Linked DNA regions of Schizosaccharomyces pombe. The gene in region 2 interacts genetically with the main gene of each other region. Each region holds a gene or a part of one and is shown on either strand. Other genes may lie near its edges. The genes, in order: rho1, rga7, rga8 and rho2.

Evidence for each region.
Region 1: mutations in rga7 (region 2) and rho1 are lethal when combined (synthetic lethality), as found in Schizosaccharomyces pombe (one study listed by BioGRID).
Region 3: mutations in rga7 (region 2) and rga8 are lethal when combined (synthetic lethality), as found in Schizosaccharomyces pombe (one study listed by BioGRID).
Region 4: of rga7 (region 2) and rho2, changing one suppresses a phenotype caused by changing the other (phenotypic suppression), as found in Schizosaccharomyces pombe (one study listed by BioGRID).

What each region holds. Positions count from the first base shown.
Region 1 is NC_003424.3:4,222,128-4,226,364, forward strand, and holds rho1 (Rho family GTPase Rho1), read left to right. Parts: upstream 1-1,943; 5' UTR 1,944-2,052; coding exon 2,053-2,123; exon of another isoform or gene 2,124-2,195; intron 2,196-2,358; exon of another isoform or gene 2,359-2,454; coding exon 2,455-2,992; 3' UTR 2,993-3,697; downstream 3,698-4,237. Other genes in the region: plasma membrane TRP-like calcium ion channel Pkd2, read left to right, coding at 1-6; protein tam6, read right to left, coding at 521-766. UniProt on the Schizosaccharomyces pombe protein: Involved in the regulation of cell wall growth and actin cytoskeleton organization. Activates (1,3)-beta-D-glucan synthase.
Region 2 is NC_003423.3:2,109,966-2,115,013, reverse strand, and holds rga7 (Rho-type GTPase-activating protein Rga7), read left to right. Parts: upstream 1-1,938; 5' UTR 1,939-2,119; coding exon 2,120-4,207; 3' UTR 4,208-4,529; downstream 4,530-5,048. Other genes in the region: mat1-Mc (M-specific transcription factor Mc), read right to left, coding at 1-532; mat1-Mi (M-specific transcription factor Mi), read left to right, coding at 667-795; cms1 (U3-containing 90S preribosome complex subunit), read left to right, coding at 4,657-4,999.
Region 3 is NC_003424.3:570,219-576,443, reverse strand, and holds rga8 (putatiRho-type GTPase-activating protein Rga8), read left to right. Parts: upstream 1-2,020; 5' UTR 2,021-2,072; coding exon 2,073-2,175; intron 2,176-2,219; coding exon 2,220-4,450; 3' UTR 4,451-4,638; coding exon of another isoform or gene 4,639-5,559; 3' UTR 5,560-5,691; downstream 5,692-6,225. Other genes in the region: erg11 (sterol 14-demethylase), read left to right, coding at 1-1,309; mrf1 (peptide chain release factor), read right to left, coding at 4,639-5,559, 5,797-5,895, 6,038-6,208. UniProt on the Schizosaccharomyces pombe protein: Acts in signal transduction. Negatively regulates the pak1/shk1 control pathway.
Region 4 is NC_003424.3:4,421,098-4,425,181, forward strand, and holds rho2 (Rho family GTPase Rho2), read left to right. Parts: upstream 1-1,593; 5' UTR 1,594-1,904; coding exon 1,905-1,930; intron 1,931-2,014; coding exon 2,015-2,093; intron 2,094-2,209; coding exon 2,210-2,215; intron 2,216-2,268; coding exon 2,269-2,307; intron 2,308-2,419; coding exon 2,420-2,460; intron 2,461-2,528; coding exon 2,529-2,547; exon of another isoform or gene 2,548-2,595; coding exon 2,596-2,688; exon of another isoform or gene 2,689-2,732; coding exon 2,733-2,867; exon of another isoform or gene 2,868-2,914; coding exon 2,915-3,079; 3' UTR 3,080-3,549; downstream 3,550-4,084. Other genes in the region: protein nst1, read right to left, coding at 1-1,114. UniProt on the Schizosaccharomyces pombe protein: Involved in cell morphogenesis, the maintenance of growth direction, control of polarity and of cell wall integrity. Regulates the synthesis of alpha-D-glucan through activation of pck2.

The DNA.
Region 1 (4,237 bases), on a different chromosome or scaffold from region 2:
CGTTAAACGTGGATGGAAAATGTTGTGTCGTATTACATATATATTACATTCCATCTACCTTACACATTCTTTCATTATTATACAATTGTTGTCTCTGAGATTTTTTTAAACTATAATTTTCTACAAAGTTTGGGGTAAAAGACCTTTAAAACAATTCACACAAGCATTCTTACAATGAACTCGACGAGGAGGTTCAATAAGCAATCAATGTCTAAATCTTATTTTTAGACAAAAGTCAACTATTTAGTGTATTCGCATCCTTTTTTTTATTTATGGTTCTTTTTTTAATTATATTTCAGAATTTTCCCTTCATTTCTGCTTCTTTTCTTTTATTCCATAATTGTTATAGTGTATAGGTTTAGTTACCATTTAAGCATATTTGTTGGATGTGCATCAGAAAGCAAAAAAACTTCACCCGTTTGATTAAAATGCAATTTAGTAAAAAACATTTACTTCTGATTCAAGTTACTTCTTCACGTCTTAAGATAACTGATAATAGAAAACGACGTTTATTAACATTTTATTGAAACAATCTATAGACACCGGTAAGAATAAATCCATAAGCCATTCCCAAAATACCGAATCGTTTAAGCTTGTAATTGGGTGTATTCAAAGGAATTCTAGATTGCGAATAGGCATATATTCCTAGACCTGTGAAAGCGCCTGCGCCCACCAAGCGGCATGGCAAGCAATCGTACTGTTCAAACCTTGGATCGTCTAAATCGACGGGTTTGGGAGTTTGTTGGAAACTTGATGATGGCATCATCGAAAGCTATCAGTTTAATTTATAAACTATAAAAAAAAAGTAACCGCGTAAATATATATGTGTATAATTAAGAGGCCACACAGCTTTCAACCACTTTCACTTTATAAACAAGATTAAAGCACTAAAAGGTAAAGTTTACTCAACCCGCTTTTTCTTTTCTTGTCAACTACAAAATGAAATGTCAGCGATCAATAATACGGTATCCAATTTGATAGATGTTCAATAATAACGACTCAGGACTTTTTTCTCTTTCAATTTGTGGGAAATCTATAGGGCGCGCTGTTCAAACTGTTTAATATATTGGTCTTATGTTCTCCAGTACTGAAATGAATCAATGGCAAAAGTTAAAAGAGACAAAGTAGTGAGTTAAGAGCTAAGTTATAGATCTACTGAAACCGTCTGTTTTATTTTAACTATGAAGAAGAATAAAAGAGGCTAAAGTTACATTTCATTTTTGTATATTTGTAGATCTGCTACCGGATCAATATTTTTTTGGGCGATATAATTTTAGTAAAATTAAAGTAGGATTTTATTGATCTCGAGAAATAAGAGAGCAAACAAAACGACGATAGAAAGAAAGAGCATCGTAATATTGCTTTATTACTTCAATCTGACATGTAAAATTATTTTTCGGCACCAAAAATTGCCGCTTTTTGAATTTAGGAATTCATCTCACATTTGCATTTTACAAATAGAATGCTGTTTAATTTTATGAGTATACAATTATAATTATAGCTATTTATACGAAGCTTTGCTTCTTTATGTCTCTTCCAAAAGTTTCTATATTCCTGCTATGTTTATTATTTATAAAATACTGAAATAAAGTGTGTACGTTAAAATAGGATAAGCGGATTAAATGCGTTCCGTTATCTTCGAATATTATGACTAAACTGAATACGTTAACGAAATTTTTCCGCTGGTTTCTGCTTTTTTTGGCGTTTGTGATTCAAACAAAAAAACGTCTGTTGACATCAAGTCGGAGTGGAGACAATCTTTTTGTAATAAAACTGTTTTAATTGCACTTTACACTCTGTACAGGCTCAGCCTCGTCCATACATACTCAAAGGGTTCATCTATAAGAGCGCTAGGGCAAAGTAACGAGATTTAGTGAAGTGTAGTAGCGTCTCCTTCTTTCCTTTCGTTGTTACATGAGCCGCTGACAGCCTAGTAAATAGCTAACCACTGCCACATCGAAGGAAAGAGCGGTGTCAGAATTTGAGTCGAAAAACGTTTATTTACGTCGAAATTTTTCTGTCTAGAGCAGGAGAAAGTAAACAAATCTAGGGATGGCGACAGAACTTCGCAGAAAGCTCGTTATTGTGGGAGATGGTGCATGTGGTAAAACATGCTTATTAATGTAAGTAAAAATGGTGCAAGCGTCGGAAAGGTAGTAGAAGGGTAAAGTAGTTGCTTGGGCCTGTTTTAAATTGGCAAGGGTTTACATCTCTTGCTTAGCATGGCTGGAGAAGAAAATTATTTCCGTAAGCATGTTCATTGCCTCAAGAAAATAATGAAAGAATCCCCATAGAAATGAGACTTAGATGGGGTTTAGATTACATTTAATAAATGTTCCGAGGATTTAATTTGCACTCCGTACCCTGTATTTCTACTTACTCTTTGCTTGCTTATCTGCAATGTTTCACGAGTCTGTGTCATTGTTATACAACTTCTAACATTTTTCTTTATAGTGTATTTTCTAAAGGAACCTTTCCCGAGGTCTATGTTCCCACTGTTTTTGAAAATTATGTAGCTGATGTTGAGGTTGATGGACGCCACGTTGAGTTGGCTCTTTGGGATACGGCTGGACAAGAAGATTACGACCGTCTACGTCCCTTGTCATATCCTGACTCACATGTTATCCTTATTTGCTTTGCTGTTGATTCTCCCGATTCTCTTGACAATGTTCAAGAAAAATGGATTTCCGAGGTTCTCCATTTCTGTTCCAGTCTTCCTATTTTGCTTGTCGCTTGCAAGGCTGATCTCCGTAACGACCCAAAAATTATTGAGGAGTTATCCAAGACTAATCAGCATCCCGTCACCACAGAAGAAGGTCAAGCAGTAGCTCAGAAGATTGGTGCTTACAAATACCTTGAGTGTTCTGCCAAGACGAATGAAGGTGTTCGTGAGGTTTTTGAATCAGCCACTCGTGCTGCTATGCTCAAACACAAGCCCAAAGTGAAGCCCTCTAGTGGAACTAAGAAGAAGAAGCGTTGTATCTTGTTGTAAACAGCTTGTTTCCAAATTTTTTAACTTAGAGAATTTATCTTTTCTGTTTTTATACATCTCTTCAGTCGAAGCACATTCAACAAGTTTCCGTATTTTTTCGACTTATGTTGATTTTTATTTCACCTTCACCTTGGTGGGAGTTTTGCATTGTGTGGCCTATCATGTTACATAGTCATTATATCCTCTCATTCTTTCCTTTTTACTTACCTCAAGTCGTGCCATTTAGTCAGCTTGGCAATGATTTAAGCGCATTTCATATAGCTGTTCTACCATTTCCCCTCACTGTTCTGCAACGTATAGGCACCTGCAAGGAGTATGCGTCTTGTTTTCAGTCTTTGCTTACTTTGCTATACTCTTCGCTATTAGTTTGAAGAAAATTTCCCTTATTGCCTTGTTATTGCATGGTTTTATTTTTCCTATAATACCTTGTTTCTTTTGTTAAGGATTGCCATCATTATTATCCTTTCTACCTAGTCAAAGGACTTGGTAAATTTTTATAAATCGGTAATTTAAAGAATATACACCTCGATTGAAACTCGATCAAAACCCGAATATTTTATAAGCTTTCTCACAGCACGTAATTGCTTATTATCGTGGAACTTTAGCTGGGTCTCCAATTTTGCACTAGAATTATTGTAGAAAATTGAAGCGACATTATCTCTGTTGATAACCTTGCTGGTATACAGGCGCTTGGTATTTTTATACACGTTGATAGTCGAAGTAGCAGATAGCCGTAGTTGATGGTTTAAACATTTTGTATTTTGCGGAAATTTGCACACTGTTTATATCTCATTCTCTTTACGTCAAGCATACCAATGTTTGCAATTTCATGTTTTGAAGGTGACCGTTGTTATTCTATCTATGCATTTGTATTACCATTTGATTTTCACTCTGTCTACAGGCAAGATTATCAGATGAAGATATAAGCATTGTTGACTTTACCTAAAAAAAAGGATAATTGCGAGGGAGCAAATAGTGAATTAAAGGGAAAAGAACAAAGTTTTTGTAGCTACTAAAAGCTGTTTGTCTATCTCTATGTGTACCTTTTATAGTGCTTATAAGTAAAATGCAGAGTCGAAATCTTCATGCTTTAATGTAAAGCATTAGTAAGGTTACATATTACAACAGAAATGGGAATCAAAATCTTAAATCTAAAAGTTGAGAGGTCTTAACAAAAAAGCTAACTCAACTTAGCTTTACAATTTATAAATCAAGGAAACAATACTTTATCAATTGTATGTTATG
Region 2 (5,048 bases):
TATTCTTTCTAGGCTGGTACTTATAACCAGGGTACATTTTCTGATGTTGTGCTTTATAAAACTCAGACATCTTAAAATATCGCATACGTACTTCCTTTGATTCGTTTCTCCACATCTCTCCAACCAGCTTGGAAACTTGTGAATTATTGATGGAAGGGTTAGACTTTAATAATGTAGCATGTTTTTCCTTCCTGTATAATATAAAAGCATTAGGGGGTCTCGGAGTACGTTCAGTAGACGTAGTGTCTTTCCGTAAACTCTTCAAAATATAGCCGGGAACTTTACATTGATCCAATGTGAAGGATATTGGTTGAGGTCTTGGCAGTTGTGCAGAATTCCCATCCAACAGGTAGCTTTGTGAGTTAGGAATGAGTATAGGAGTAAAGCCATCAGGAACAAAGTAAGCAGCACCTTTGCCAGTTTCAATTGAATGAAGAGCATCCTTTGTAAGGTATCTTTTAAAACACCAGTCTGGATCTAAAAAGTCGTAGGAAATAGGGGAACCCGCTGATAATTCTTGGTGTGAGTCCATTGTAGTTGTGAGTGCAAGGTAGGTGTAGAGTGTGGAGGGTATTTAACTACTTACAGAACAAAGAAACCCAAAAACAAAGGAACAAAATACACTAAAACACAATAATTTAATCTAAAGCACAATACATACTAATAATGTCAGCAGAAGACCTTTTTACAATTCAAATCCTATGTGATCAAATTGAGTTAAAACTTGCATCCATTGTAATAAATTCTAACATCAAATTACAACTTAAACGTAAAAAAAAGACACAACAATTATAAACTACATATAAGCAGGGTTCAGTAAATTGGGAAGGCGTTTCTGGCTATTAGGTTGTATGGCTATTAAATTAAAGGTTGTATGCTATACAAATGCATATGCATATGCATACAGAAAAATACTACCTCTTCCAATATTTTTCCTTCAACTACTCTCTCTTCTTTTCCTACCCTTCTTCTCACTCTCTTTTCCTTTCACGGCTAACCCACTATTTTCTCTCCTTTCTCTTTCTTTGTTCCTACCCAAACAAAGAAATAGTTACCATAGCTACTACAACAAAGCAAGCACTCATCCCACTTAATGTGGGGTCCCCTAAAGAATTCCCGTCTAATGAGAATTAGGAACGTTTCATTGTCAAGTTCGTTATTAAGTTATTTAAGAAAATATAATACTGATTAAAAATATATCGGTATAACAAATACAAAAATTAAACAGTCGCAATAAAACATGTTGACAAACCTGTAGTCATAGAATAAACATAATGTTATTATATTAACAGTAGGCTCTAAGGATTTATTATTGTTTTTACATATTCGTTCATGACAAAAAAAGTATTACAAACAACTTGCAATAGAATAATCCTACTTATTTGTTCTTTTCATTCACCTAATCCTCTCCCCCATTTGGAAAGGGTATGGCATTTTACTCGAATAACGCAACCAACTTTCTGTCTCCTTATTTTGCTATCCCCCACTTAGAAAGGGTATGACACTTTTCCTTAAATAACACAATCAACTCTTTCTCCTTATACCCTTCTTCCCCTTACCGCCTTCCTACTCACCTCAGTCTTTACCCCCACGTATCTCTACCTCCCACTTGGAAAGGGTATGACACTTACCTCGAATACCACAGTCAACTCTTCCTTCCTTTTCAACCCTCCCTCACTATACTTCATCCCACTTAAAAAGGGTATGGCAGAAACGTTATACAACGCAATTTGTATTTTATTCTTTTCCTTTACCTTCCTATCTTAAACTCATTTTCATCCCCCACACTCAACCTCCCAATTCCAAACTTTTAGCTTCGTTACATCTCCGTAATTTGAACTACTCATACCTCCTTAATCCTCTTTATCTCTTCCTCTACCGTCCTCTCCTTACCCTTTCCTCGTTTACATCCTCTATACTCGCTATACTACTCAAACCAACCACCCACTACCAATTCCTTACAAACAAAGAATTCACCCTTCTTTCCTCTATCATTCTTTGCTTGCTCAAGTGATTTTATATATTTTCGCGTTTACCGCGCTTCTTTTGTTATTTTTACTCTTTCTATTCTCTCACTCTATTTACTTCTCTTGCTCCCGCCCATCACTCAACTCCTTCAATGCTGTCGGCTCCCTCCTCCTCTACCACTCCCGCTTCCCCACCAACATCGCCTCCAAATACCACTTCCTCTGATGATTTCGCAGTTCTCAAAGAACCAAAAGTCGAAGCGATCCTCAATTCGGAACTTGGTCTAGCAATCCTAAATGATCGCATTAAAGACTACCTCCTCACTTGCAAAGAACTCGCCGGATTCTTTAAAAAGCGTTCCATTCTCGAAGAAGAAAGTGGAAAAAATTTACAAAAACTTGCTAAATCCTACCTAGAGACGTTTCAATCCAAACACCACTCTCCCCAATCTTTTTCCGCCTCTGTCATTACGAGTATGGAAATTCATGAACAACTTGCCAATCACAGTTTAACCCTTCAAAAAACTCTTTCTGCATTTTCCGATCAAGTCATCGAATTTCACAAAAACGCAGAACGCAAACGAAAATCCATCAAGGAATATGCGAAAAAACAAGAAAACGCATATTTAGAAGCCGTTATGCAAATGGATAAATCCAAATCTCGCTTTAAGGGTGCCGAAACCGAGTACAACCGCGCTCTCGACAACAAAAACACTGGAGACTCCCAGAAGAAGGTTGGTTTTTTTAAACCAAAATCTAATGCTCAGCTCACCAAACTCGAAGATGAAGCTCGCCTTAAGGCCGAAAATGCAGAATCAGATATGCACAGTAAGATTGAAAACGCTCAAAACGTTCAAAAACAACTTTTGTGTATTCACCGACCAAACTACATAAAGCAATTCTTTTCCCTTCAACGCGAAATTGAAAGCTCACTCATTGCAAACTATCTACGGTACACAAAGCTCTGCGAGTCAAACACCCTGCTCAACGGTCTCACAATCCGTCCACAAAAGCCCACTCCTACCAACTGTGGTTTACAACATGCTTTGGATAATATAAATGCAAATACCGATTTTGTTCAATACGTCCTTCACGCCTCCATCAAGCATGAAGATAACAAAAATCCAACCGACGCTTCTAAAACAAAAATCATTCAACCTCCAAGCTCTTACGGAACTGGTTCCTCTGCCGGAAAAACCAATCCACCCGTCAACCCCACCATCAAGGTTACTGCTGCTATTCCCTCTCCCCTACAAAACACTAATCCTGCTCCATCCACTTTTCCCAACCCTTCTGTGGCTTCCCCTGCCTTCCCAAACTCATCTACTTCCAATCCCTCTACTGCTCCCGCTTCAGCCTCTCCTTTGGCTTCTACCCTAAAACCTAGTACCGCCAATGACACAAACGGTTCTTCTTCATCCTCTTCTTCCAATCCTCGTACCTCTTCTCCACTCGCTTCTAATGCAGAAAACAAGCCCCCTGTTGCCCAACAATCACCTCCCGTACTACTTCCTACTTTACCTCCCATCCAGACGACAACGATTCAAACGTCTCGAGAAGTCGCACCACCGCCTTCTAGCATCAACTCAAACCGTGCTGCATCTCCCTTCCGACCAACTTCTGTCTCCCCTCAACCTTCCTCTCCTACGAAATCGTTACTCTTTGGTGCTCGATTAGACGCAATCATTCTACGAGAACATTCCAACATTCCAAACATCGTAATGCAATGCACTTCCCAAGTCGAAAATTTTGGTCTCAACCTCCAGGGCATCTACCGTGTTCCCAGCTCTTCCGCCCGTGTCAACATGTTACGTTCTCAATTTGAGAATAATCCTCTCTTACAATTACATACACCTGAGGACTATGAAAACGACGTTCATGCAGTCGCTGATCTACTAAAAATCTTTTTCCGTGAACTACGTGAACCGTTAATTCCCGACAATCATCAAAGAGACTTTATCGACGCAGGTAACGTTGAAGACGAATCCAGAAGAAGAGATGCCGTCCATCGTGCGATCAACGATCTTCCCGATGCCAACTACTCTACCATTCGTCATTTAACCATACATCTTGCTAAAATTAAAGAAAACAGCGATGTAAACAAAATGTCGACAAACAATTTGGCCATTATTTGGGGACCTACTATCATTAAGCAAGCTACTATCCCAGAAATTAGCAGTTTCTCTAGAACTATCGAAATTCTTATCGACTATTGTTTCACAATTTTTGACTACGATTAAAAGATCATTTTCTGTATTATTTACTGCTTACCATCTTTTTTTTCTCTTTTTATATTTTTTTCCTTTGCGTCAATAAAGCACACTTGACACTATTCTCTCTTTCTTGGATTTTGTATGCTTCCACCTCTTTCCCCTTTTTATCCCTTTCCTTACCTTGTTTTTATCCTAAACTTTTGTTTGTCTACAAATTCATTCTTTTCTTTACTGTCAATTCCGTTCACAATTTTAATCCATAGTTTAGACAACCTTCATAACGTAATAATGGAAATTATCTACGATTTTATAAACCAAATGAATTCCTTTTATTTTTTTTTCTTCTATATAGACCTTCAAATACTCTATATTTTTGTAAACGATAGATTTATATTTTTTTTTACATTTTTCCTGTACTATTCGACGGTCCACGAACTGAACGTATCCCTAACACCAAAATTTTAAAACATGCAATTATGAGCTACACGACAACAGACGCTGATGCTTTGGATGATCAACTTGATTATCAGGTAGATTTAGTTTCAGAAATTTCAGTTTCGGATGAAGAATCTGCACAACCTACTACAATAACTGAAAATTTTACTGCTTCTCAAAACAACGATTCAGCGAAACGTGAAAAAAGAAAAAAACAACGCCAAAAACAAAAGGAAAGGAAAAGAGCTAAATTGTTAGAACTACAAGACACAAACGCTTCAATCATCCAGAGTCCAGACACGCTGTCCGATTTGTTAAATAATTACATAAAAAGCATTTATAGTGATCTTACCGATGTAGAATTGTCAGATAAAGTGATTAAAGGTATAATTGCTTATTATTCTTTTTTTTTTTACTTCACTTTACTAACTCA
Region 3 (6,225 bases), on a different chromosome or scaffold from region 2:
TCGTGCCAAATATGGTGATGTTTTCACCTTTGTTTGCATGGGTCGTAAAATGACCGCTTTCCTTGGTGTCCAAGGTAATGATTTCCTCTTTAACGGTAAATTAGCTGATTTGAATGCTGAAGAAGCTTACTCTCATTTAACTACCCCTGTATTCGGTAAAGATGTCGTTTACGATATTCCCAACCATGTTTTTATGGAGCACAAGAAGTTTATCAAATCTGGTCTTGGCTTCTCTCAATTCCGCTCTTATGTCCCCCTCATTCTTAACGAAATGGATGCTTTTCTCAGCACTTCTCCTGACTTCGGACCTGGTAAGGAAGGCGTTGCTGATTTGCTGAAGACCATGCCTGTCATGACTATTTACACTGCTTCTCGTACTTTACAAGGTGCTGAGGTTCGCAAGGGCTTTGACGCTGGTTTCGCTGACTTGTACCATGACCTTGATCAAGGATTTAGCCCTGTTAACTTTGTTTTCCCTTGGTTACCTCTCCCTAGAAACAGACGCCGTGATAGAGCCCACAAAATTATGCAAAAAACTTATCTTAAAATTATTAAAGATCGTCGCTCTAGCACTGAAAATCCTGGTACTGATATGATTTGGACTTTGATGAGCTGCAAGTATAGAGATGGCCGTCCTTTGAAGGAACATGAAATTGCTGGTATGATGATTGCACTTTTGATGGCTGGTCAACACACCTCTGCTGCCACTATCGTTTGGGTTCTTGCTCTTTTGGGTAGCAAACCTGAAATCATTGAAATGTTGTGGGAAGAGCAGAAGCGTGTTGTAGGTGAAAACTTGGAATTGAAGTTTGACCAATATAAGGACATGCCTCTTCTCAACTATGTTATTCAAGAAACTCTTAGACTCCATCCCCCTATCCACAGTCATATGCGTAAAGTCAAACGTGACTTACCCGTCCCTGGTTCAAAGATTGTTATCCCTGCCAACAACTATCTTCTTGCTGCTCCCGGTTTAACTGCTACTGAAGAGGAATACTTCACTCATGCTACTGACTTTGACCCCAAGCGCTGGAATGACCGCGTCAATGAAGACGAAAATGCTGAGCAAATTGATTATGGTTATGGTCTCGTTACAAAGGGTGCTGCTTCTCCATACCTACCCTTTGGAGCTGGTCGTCATCGTTGCATTGGTGAGCAATTTGCCTACATGCATTTGAGCACTATTATTAGCAAGTTTGTACACGATTACACCTGGACTCTTATTGGAAAAGTTCCCAACGTTGACTATTCCAGTATGGTTGCTCTTCCCTTGGGTCCTGTTAAAATTGCTTGGAAGCGTCGTAATTAAGGGAATTTCCCCTAATTTGAATGCATTTGCAATACGCTTATGGTATTGGTTTCTAACTTTGGTTCCGCCTTTCTCTTTTCATGCCCGTGTTAAACGTTTTTGTTTTATCTGACGAGTAACGAATAACCATGAAATTTGCTAGACATTTTAAATTTTAAGTGCTTTATTGTTTTATGAAATTGTAAATATTTTAGCGTTTTAAATGACTATTTGGTAGCATTTCAAATGTCAAAAGAATGTATTATGCAATTTCAAACTTCCTTATCCTCGCACTAAATCGATATGAAAACTACCCTGTCATCATTAGTGATACATTTTTACGATATTATAGTTTTAATAACGTCGGGACGCTCTCTTTCGTTTTCATGTAGGCATTATAACAATAAAGTACGCTACTCTCTCTTTTCAAAACCTCATCGTGCAAACGCAAGGTTTCTCAGTAAGCTATTAATTAAAATTTTGTAGTTTTTAATTGTACCATCGATCCAACCATAGCATTAATAATACAAAGTGGGTAAAAGCGTAGGCTGCTATTCAACTGAATGAAGTTTACATTTTATAAAGGATTAGTGGTATGCTATCTTATGTGTGTCAAGTAACGTATCTGTTGTCTTATTTACTGGATACTTTTGGCATCCTTGATGGGTAAAACTTTTCTGCGTAGCAATTCGCTATTTACTTAAGTTGAGTAATAAAGGGCGTAGACATGTCAACCACCTCTATATTTCTTGACAGGTTGTGACAGTTTCAGTCTCGAATTGAAATGATATCGAGCTTTTCAAATGGTTTTTGGAGTAAAGACTACGCGACTGGTGTGAAAAAACTTTTCGATTGCCTGGATAATGGAGTTGAAGAGAATGAGCAAGGTATTTAAATAAATTAATATAGGACTTCCTCTAACAACGAATAGTAAAAAACTTGTTGAAGTTATATAAAGAAGCGAATGAGGAATTTGGTGAAAAGCTTCAAGAAATAACGAAAGAATGTCTAAAAGGGAAAAAGCCAGAGAATACAGAAGACGGTGCTACTTCTAACAAGGCTTTTGAAGGGTTGCGCTCCGAGATTGCTAATCAAGGAAAGCAACATATTCGTATTGCCAAGGACTTAGAAACGCTAATTATTGCTCCTTTCTCTAAAATGTCTATTGATCATTCTCAGAAGTTACAAACCAGCCAACAAGTTCTTACCAATCAAATAAAGAGTTATGAAAAGAAATACTATACACTTAAAAAAACAAAAAGCGCTTACTACAACAAATGTAGAAACCTTGAAGATTATGAAGAAGAATCAAAGGAGTCCAATGAAACTACTAGTGAGGCTATTACTGACTTAACAACAGTTTCTAGTCCACAGCAGCAATCATTGTTGGAAAATGATGATGATCTGATTCAACTTGGTTTTATGGAGTTTAGGCCTGAGGAGTTAAAAGAGGTTTTGGCTCAAGTATTACAAGAAATACCCTTACAGGATTATCGCGTCCCTATCTTAGGTACTTACCCTAATACATGTTCAGGAAATATTATTGTTTCTTGGCTTCAGGAAAATCTTCCTGTTCCAACTTTAGTTGCAGCCGAGGCATTTGGACAAGATTTGATAGCTCAAGGATTTTTGCGTCATATGGGCGTTGGAGGTAGTTTTGTGAATAGTACCAACTTCCATTATCAGTGGAAAGACAAGGCTTTCCAGTTTGCAGGACTGAATAGTGTAGATAGTCTTGTCGAAAACGCCAAGGCTTTACCATTAGTTGGTGAATATCTTTCTGATTATATAAGTCATCGAAAGCTTTACTCTTCAGAAACTCAATCTCAACGTCTTAAAAGAGAAGTTCTGGATGCAAATAAAATTTACAGCGAATCAGTCGTTGATCTTGATAAATGCCGCACACTTGTGGAAGAAACTATTGCTGATCATTTGCAATTTCTTCAAAAATGTGAAACCGATCGCGTTCTTTATTATAAAGATTTTTTTATGGATTTATCAACAATTATTTCGAACTTTTTGCCTTCCATGAAATTGCTGGCTGATCAGATTGTTGTTTATCAGGAAATAATTCAACCTGAGAGTGACATTAGGTATATTTTAGAGTCTGCAGCTACTGGTCCATTTTTACCTCGTGTCGAAATATATGAGGATTATTATAATGATATTAAAGATCAGATTTTTGGAGTGGACGTTGAGTTTTTGTCTCATAGAGATAAGAAACGTGTTCCCATAATCGTTAGTACGATCCTTTCTTATTTAGATCTGTTATATCCTACGCTTGCCTCTGATGAAGTTCGTCAAAATATATGGCTTGTTAATTCTCCCTTGTCTTCTGTACATCAACTTCGAGAAGCGTTGAATCATTCTTCATCCGTGACAAAGGAGGTTTTATCACAGTATACTCCCTCCGTTGTGATAGGAGTTTTGAAGCTATACTTTCTTGAACTCCCTGATTCCATCGTTCCTTCTTCTGCTTTTGAGCTTATTCGTTCAATTTACATGAATCATAGTAATGATACGCCGTACAGGTTGAGACTTTTACAAAATCTTTTATCCCAACTTCGACGTGTTAATCTTGCTACTTTGAGTGCCATCATTACTCATCTAAATCGCTTGATTACGCTTACTCCAAATAAAGAAACTTTTACTATAAATTTAGCTAACTCCTTATCTTTATGCATTTCCCGTCCAGCAACATGGAATTTGGGTATTCAACATGATAAGCACCCAACGAAGTTCATGGAGGATCTTTTAACTTACGGACCAAGTATTTTTGAAGAACTCAGAAAATTGAATTCATCCAAACGTGTTTCTGACCGTGTATTATATCAATCTTCTGCTACTCCTCGGAGTACAGATGTATCACCAACTAGACCAGACTCCATTTCTTCTGTCCGATCTCATACTGCTGTCGAATCTCCAAGATCTTCGTTTGAGGAGCTGCAACCTTCAGAAATTCCCGCTGAATCTGAATTTACTCTTGAAAATGTGCCCACCTCATTGATCAGATCGTCGTATGCCTTGAATACTAGAAAGACAAGACGTAATTTCAGCCATTCTTCTGCTTCCAATGAAAGTGCCGCAATCTTTATTGATCAGGATGCAAAGATAGTGAACGAAGCAGTCGCCTCAAGAGATTCCAGTTTAAGTGGTAGTTAAAAATATGTTATTATGAGTTAACCTATGATCTTTTTTAAAGATCAGTTATGGATATCTTATTTGCATGACATGTTGCACATTCTTTTCTCATTATTCATTGCATATACCTAATAAACATTTTTCTCTATAGAAGTTTGACCACCATATATTATTGTACCTTCCTATTTTACTAGACTAAATTAGCATTCCTATACTATTTCAGAGTGTAATAGCAACTGTTCACGATTCCATATTCTTATTTTTTCCAAAAACTCGTCAAATTTTTCTTCACCTTGCATAAATGTTGATAAATCGTGCATGCTTAAACCTATCCGATGATCAGTTACTCGATTTTGGTTGAAGTTATAAGTTCGTAGCTTTTCCGAACGATCTGAAGACGTTACTTGATTTTTACGTTTCAGTCTTTCAGCCTCATTTTCTTTTGCGGCATTTAAGGCAGCCAATCTTGAATTCAGTACAAGAAATGCCTTTTCTTTGTTTTGATGCTGAGAACGAGAATCTTGCATGCTAACAGTGATACCAGTGGGTATGTGTGTTAAACGTACGGCGGATTCTGTTCTATTAACGTGTTGTCCACCGGCTCCACGAGATCTCATTACTTCGATTTTAACTTCAGATGAATCGTAAAGAGAAGAGGATTCATCATTTGACACCTGAGGTAAAACGATTACTGATGCAGTACTCGTATGAACTCTTCCTTTAGTTTCGGTAGCAGGAGTCCTCTGAACCCTATGAACACCTCCTTCCAACATAAGATGACCATAAGCTCCCTCACCTTCAATAGAGAAGATGGCCTCCGTTATCGCTTCAAGTCCTTGGACTGCACTTTTTGATATAAATTTGCAATTCCATCCTTTAAAATTTGCATACTGAAAATACATTTCCACTAGTTCATTTGCAAATATTGCGGCCTCTGTTCCTCCTACACCAGGACGAATTTCGATTAATGCAGGAAGAGCATATGAATCAGCTTGTGGAAGTAATGTGTTTTCAAGATCTTCTATGCTTTTTGGTATTTTATTACTTATTTCGTTTATTTCAGTCACTGCCATCATTTTAACCTCTGCATCTGACTCTTGGGCCTCCATTTGTTTCAAATCGCTTATTTGCTAAATTGTTAGAATTTTTTTAAATCAAGGTTTTCAAAAACTAGTTATTTAAGTATTTCAACATGCTCATCAAATAGCTTTACTTAGATAAACAGTAAATGCCTGGCAAAAGTCTTAAGTTATAGACCCATTAGCAAAAAAAAACCATTGTAAATCGATTACTATAAATAGGAAGAGTAATAAAAAAAAGGAAAGCTTTTGACTACAAGTTTGAGACAAATTCGTCTTATATCATACCTCAGACAAACTTTTAAATTTCGAATATGCATTATGAACGCGTCGAAGCCTAGCGATTCGCTTTGCTAAATCTGTATCGTTTGTCATTGCCGATTGATCCTAAAAGATATAAGTTAGATCATTTATATCAGATTTTAATTTTTCATGAGTAAAGCTTAATGTCCGGTATGCTTGTATTACCATTATTATTGTATCTCGAACAGTAGCAGGCTGATTTCACACTTTGTTTGCCGACACTTACTTTATTATTTACTTGATGGAATTGAAGATACTCTGAAGAAAGCGATCGGGCTTTTTCAATAAGTACTCTTGAAACGTTATGCTCAGAGTATCCTTTTTTGCAAGCAATGCTACGAATTTGATATTCAATTCCATGTCTAAAGTACCATAAAACTTTTTTAGTTAGAAGCATCACCTTGTATTTTGAGT
Region 4 (4,084 bases), on a different chromosome or scaffold from region 2:
TTGATGGTACGTTGTTCAGAGGAATCGATAAAAGCTTAGGTGAATCGGAGATGATTCCTTTCTGGGACTTGTCTGAACCTTCGTCTGAAGCGTTTACAGACTCGGTATTTGCAAGGTTACGTTGAATATTAGCATATTGTTCTAATTCTTCATAGTAAGCATCATACAGTACTTCCAACTCTTCCTCAATTGCTAAACGTTTCCTTCCACACACCGAACAAGAGCATGAGTATTTTTGTTGCTCTTTCATTTTTTGCAAAACAGCTTCTTTTTCGACTTTAACTAACGACCTGCGTTCACTTTCACTTAAGGAAAGCCAAAATTCCCGAATTTGCTCCCGCTCCTCAGTATTCGAACTGCTCCAAATATCTTTGGATTTATTATTGTTAACGTTATTATTCATACTGGCTTGACGCACAGAACCGTTGTAATAAGAAAGCGCTTGCCCATTCCTATAAGTAATAGCAACGTCCGTAGAATAAACTTGTTCAAAATCTCTTTGATCATCCACATTCAACGATGCACTATTTGCTTTTGACTTCTTCTTCTTTTTCTTTTTCCGTTTAGATGAAGTTGACGAACCTAACGCTACTGTATTCAAATTCATATTATTTTGAACGGAGTTCGGTGACATATTGGACGACGTCGCGTCTTCCAAACCAGGTATATGAACTGGAAACTCGGCTTCATCCACGAAACTGGAGGTAGAAAGAATACATTGGGGAGAATGTTCTATGGTATCGTCAGATTCAAGAGTGAATTGCCAATCCGTCGAAGATATTCCTTCGACGTTAATCAACGATGAATCATCACCATTTGCCGAGACCAGCTGCGGATGAGAAATACGAGAATTCAAATTTGAAAGTTCCAAAGACGCTTGATGATCTATGACACCATTATTCGCGCCAACGTCTGTAACTGCAGAATCGGTCCCTGCCGACCCAAGCAAATCCACGTTTGCTTGAGTCTCGACATTTTTCTTGGCTTTCGGTTTTTTCTTCTTTTTATTCTTTTTCTTTGTACCAGAGTTGGGAATAGGTATAAGAAGATCCTTGAAACTTGGAGGTTCTAACCCTACACTGAGTGCTTCGGTGCGAAGAGCTTTATCATTCATGTTTTCTTTTTAAAAATCGCCTACCAACAACGCCTCTTTTTTTATGAGCTTAAAATATGAAACTAACGATTTAAAAAAAAAATAATTTAAATTATTTTTTTTATTCAAATTGTAGCTCACGGGTCTGCGTTGGCAATGTTTTAAGGGTAATCCCTAAAATTCTTAAATGCCGAACTGCCCACCTTTTCTTAGTTCAATATTCAAAAACAGTATACCCCAAAGTACTTGAAATAGTATATCTTCTTAGGGATTTCAACCCAGATGATCCAAATCACAAAGATTTTTGGATTTAACTAGTTCAATTGCTGCTTTGCAGAATGTGGTGAATAAAGCCAAACGGCAAATGGCGTTTTATCATATTTAATGCATCTTAACGTGCAAAATTAGTTCTTTAAGGCATGTTAAGGTGCAATAAGGAAGCGTACGATTCCAATAAATTGAATTTACGATACTTAACACCAAAAGTGTCTATAATCCGCATGGGATAAATGTCACCAAAACCACATTTCTTGAACAAATACTCTTTGAGAAGCTAATTTTTGTGCATATACTACTTTTCGTTGCTCTAATTGAAAGGCTTGGACGTTTGGCTAATCGCTTCATTTGACTATTTCGACAATCGCTTACTCATTTCTTATATTTCAAAAATTCACACCTATTTGGTTTAATTTTTACAGCTTTTCGAACCGGGAAATTTTGGTTGTCTGATCTGCAGTGAATCATTCTTTAAGAAAAATTTGCATAGAAAAAACCTCATACAGTGTTTAATCCGCTCCCTATTAAAAAGTACATGTTGCAATCTCAACCGATTAGAAGGTACGATTCTATGGCCTAATATCTTTTTGCTTCTTTTATTTCTTCTACTCAAATTCATTTTCTTTAAATATTAATATTTTTAAGGAAACTAGTAGTTGTAGGCGATGGTGCCTGCGGGAAGACGTCTTTGTTATCCGTTTTCACTTTGGGATATTTTCCTACTGTAAGTACAGATGTCATAAAAGTGAGCTTTGGCTTATCGCATATTGCACGATACGCAAATACTTATTGTCTTTTCTACCTTATTTATTTATTTATTTACTAACTTACTGGCGATAGGAATATGTAATGCTTTTTTCTCTTTATTTCGTAGAGTTTTTTAATAACAGTTACTATAGGTTCCGACTGTGTTTGAAAACTATGTTTCAGATTGTCGAGTATGTGTGATTAACAAGTTATTGAGCTTTTTCAGTTGGTTACAGAAAGTTACTTTCCCACTGGTCCCTTTTCTTTGGGTTTTGCTAATACATTTGATACTAACTAAAATAGGTTGATGGAAAATCAGTTCAACTGGCATTGTGGGATACCGCGTAAGTACTTTTTTTTCTGATGTTAAAACTATATGTTATGTATTCCTGCATACTAATTCTTGTTTTAGAGGTCAAGAGGAATATGAGGTTTGTTTCGTTATTAATAGTGAGAAATACGTCGTTAACCCAATGCAGAGATTAAGACCAATGTCTTACGCTAAAGCACACATTATTTTGGTTGGGTTTGCGATAGACTCTCCTGATTCACTTGAAAATGTTTCTACGAAGGTTCGTTTCATTAATTGTTTTTTCCAGTCATTAACATTATATAGTGGATTGAGGAAATTAATACACTTTGCCCAAATGTTCCGTTTATTTTAGTGGGCATGAAAGCCGACTTAAGGTCAGATCCCGTTGCTATTGAAGAAATGCGACGTCGAAATCAAAATTTTGTAAAATCACAACAGGTATATATTAATAATTCAAACACGTGAATACTAATTCTTGATATCAGGCTGAATTAGTAGCTCAGCGGATTGGTGCGAGAAAGTATATGGAATGTTCTTCATTGACTGGTGACGGCGTGGACGATGTATTTGAAGCTGCTACTAGGGCAGCACTAACAGTTCGGGATTCGGAAAATGACAAGAGTTCTACAAAATGCTGCATCATTTCATAATTACTAATATCCTAACGATTGCAAACATTCATGTTTCAGTTTATAGGAAAGCCTATCAGTTTATGCGACCTACATTTACAAAAAGCTGATAGACTTTTTTGCTTTTCTTCGCATTTGTTCTTTGCCGTTGTTTCATTTCGTTTTCACTTTCACTTCTGTCGTTTACTTTTTTCTTTTTCTCCCCTATACCTCAAATTTAGTTCCTATTTTATTTTGAGACTCAGGAGTATTATTATTATTTTCATCATTATAATCTTCACGCATCGGTCGAACGACACTAGCCTCCTTTTTCATTTCATTAAGCAAACCGCATTCAGTTATTATTACCTTTTTTTTTTACTCTTAAACATCTTTCATTCTTTTTCAGCATCTATTGTCCTCATGAAAACTACTTTTTGTTTAAAAGATCATAGGACTTTATTTTTAGAACTGCCGCTTGCGCTCATTATGAAGTACAAAATTCATATATGTACATATGCTTTTGTTCTCTTAGGCTAATAGAAAATGTCAGTTTTCCTTATTGATACATTTAATACGTAGGCTCACTTCGCTAAGTAATTTTATGGGGCGGTCAAATTCAAAATTCTGGCTCATTTAAGCTAAATATTAAGACACCGCCAAAGGTATACAACCATATCAAAATTTATCACCTACTAAAGTTTCGAGCCTATTTTTTTCTGGGCATTAATGGGTTGGAAATCAAGACTGGCAAGAGTTAAAGTGGTCACTCTCATCAAACAACTATGTGAAATTATATACCCTTTAAACACCCATACTCCAACAACTAACTTTTCTTCGGGCGTTCACTTCATTAAGAACAACAACCAAAAAAAAACAACCAAAATCCATCCAAATGATAAAGAATGACAAATACGCGGCAAAAATCCGGAACTACACTAAAAATTACACATTCCTTTCATTCTTGATCGTAAGAAAGGAAATCGCCAATAAAGAGAGATAAATTCATACTCAAATACATCACAGACAAAGGATATTAAGACCACA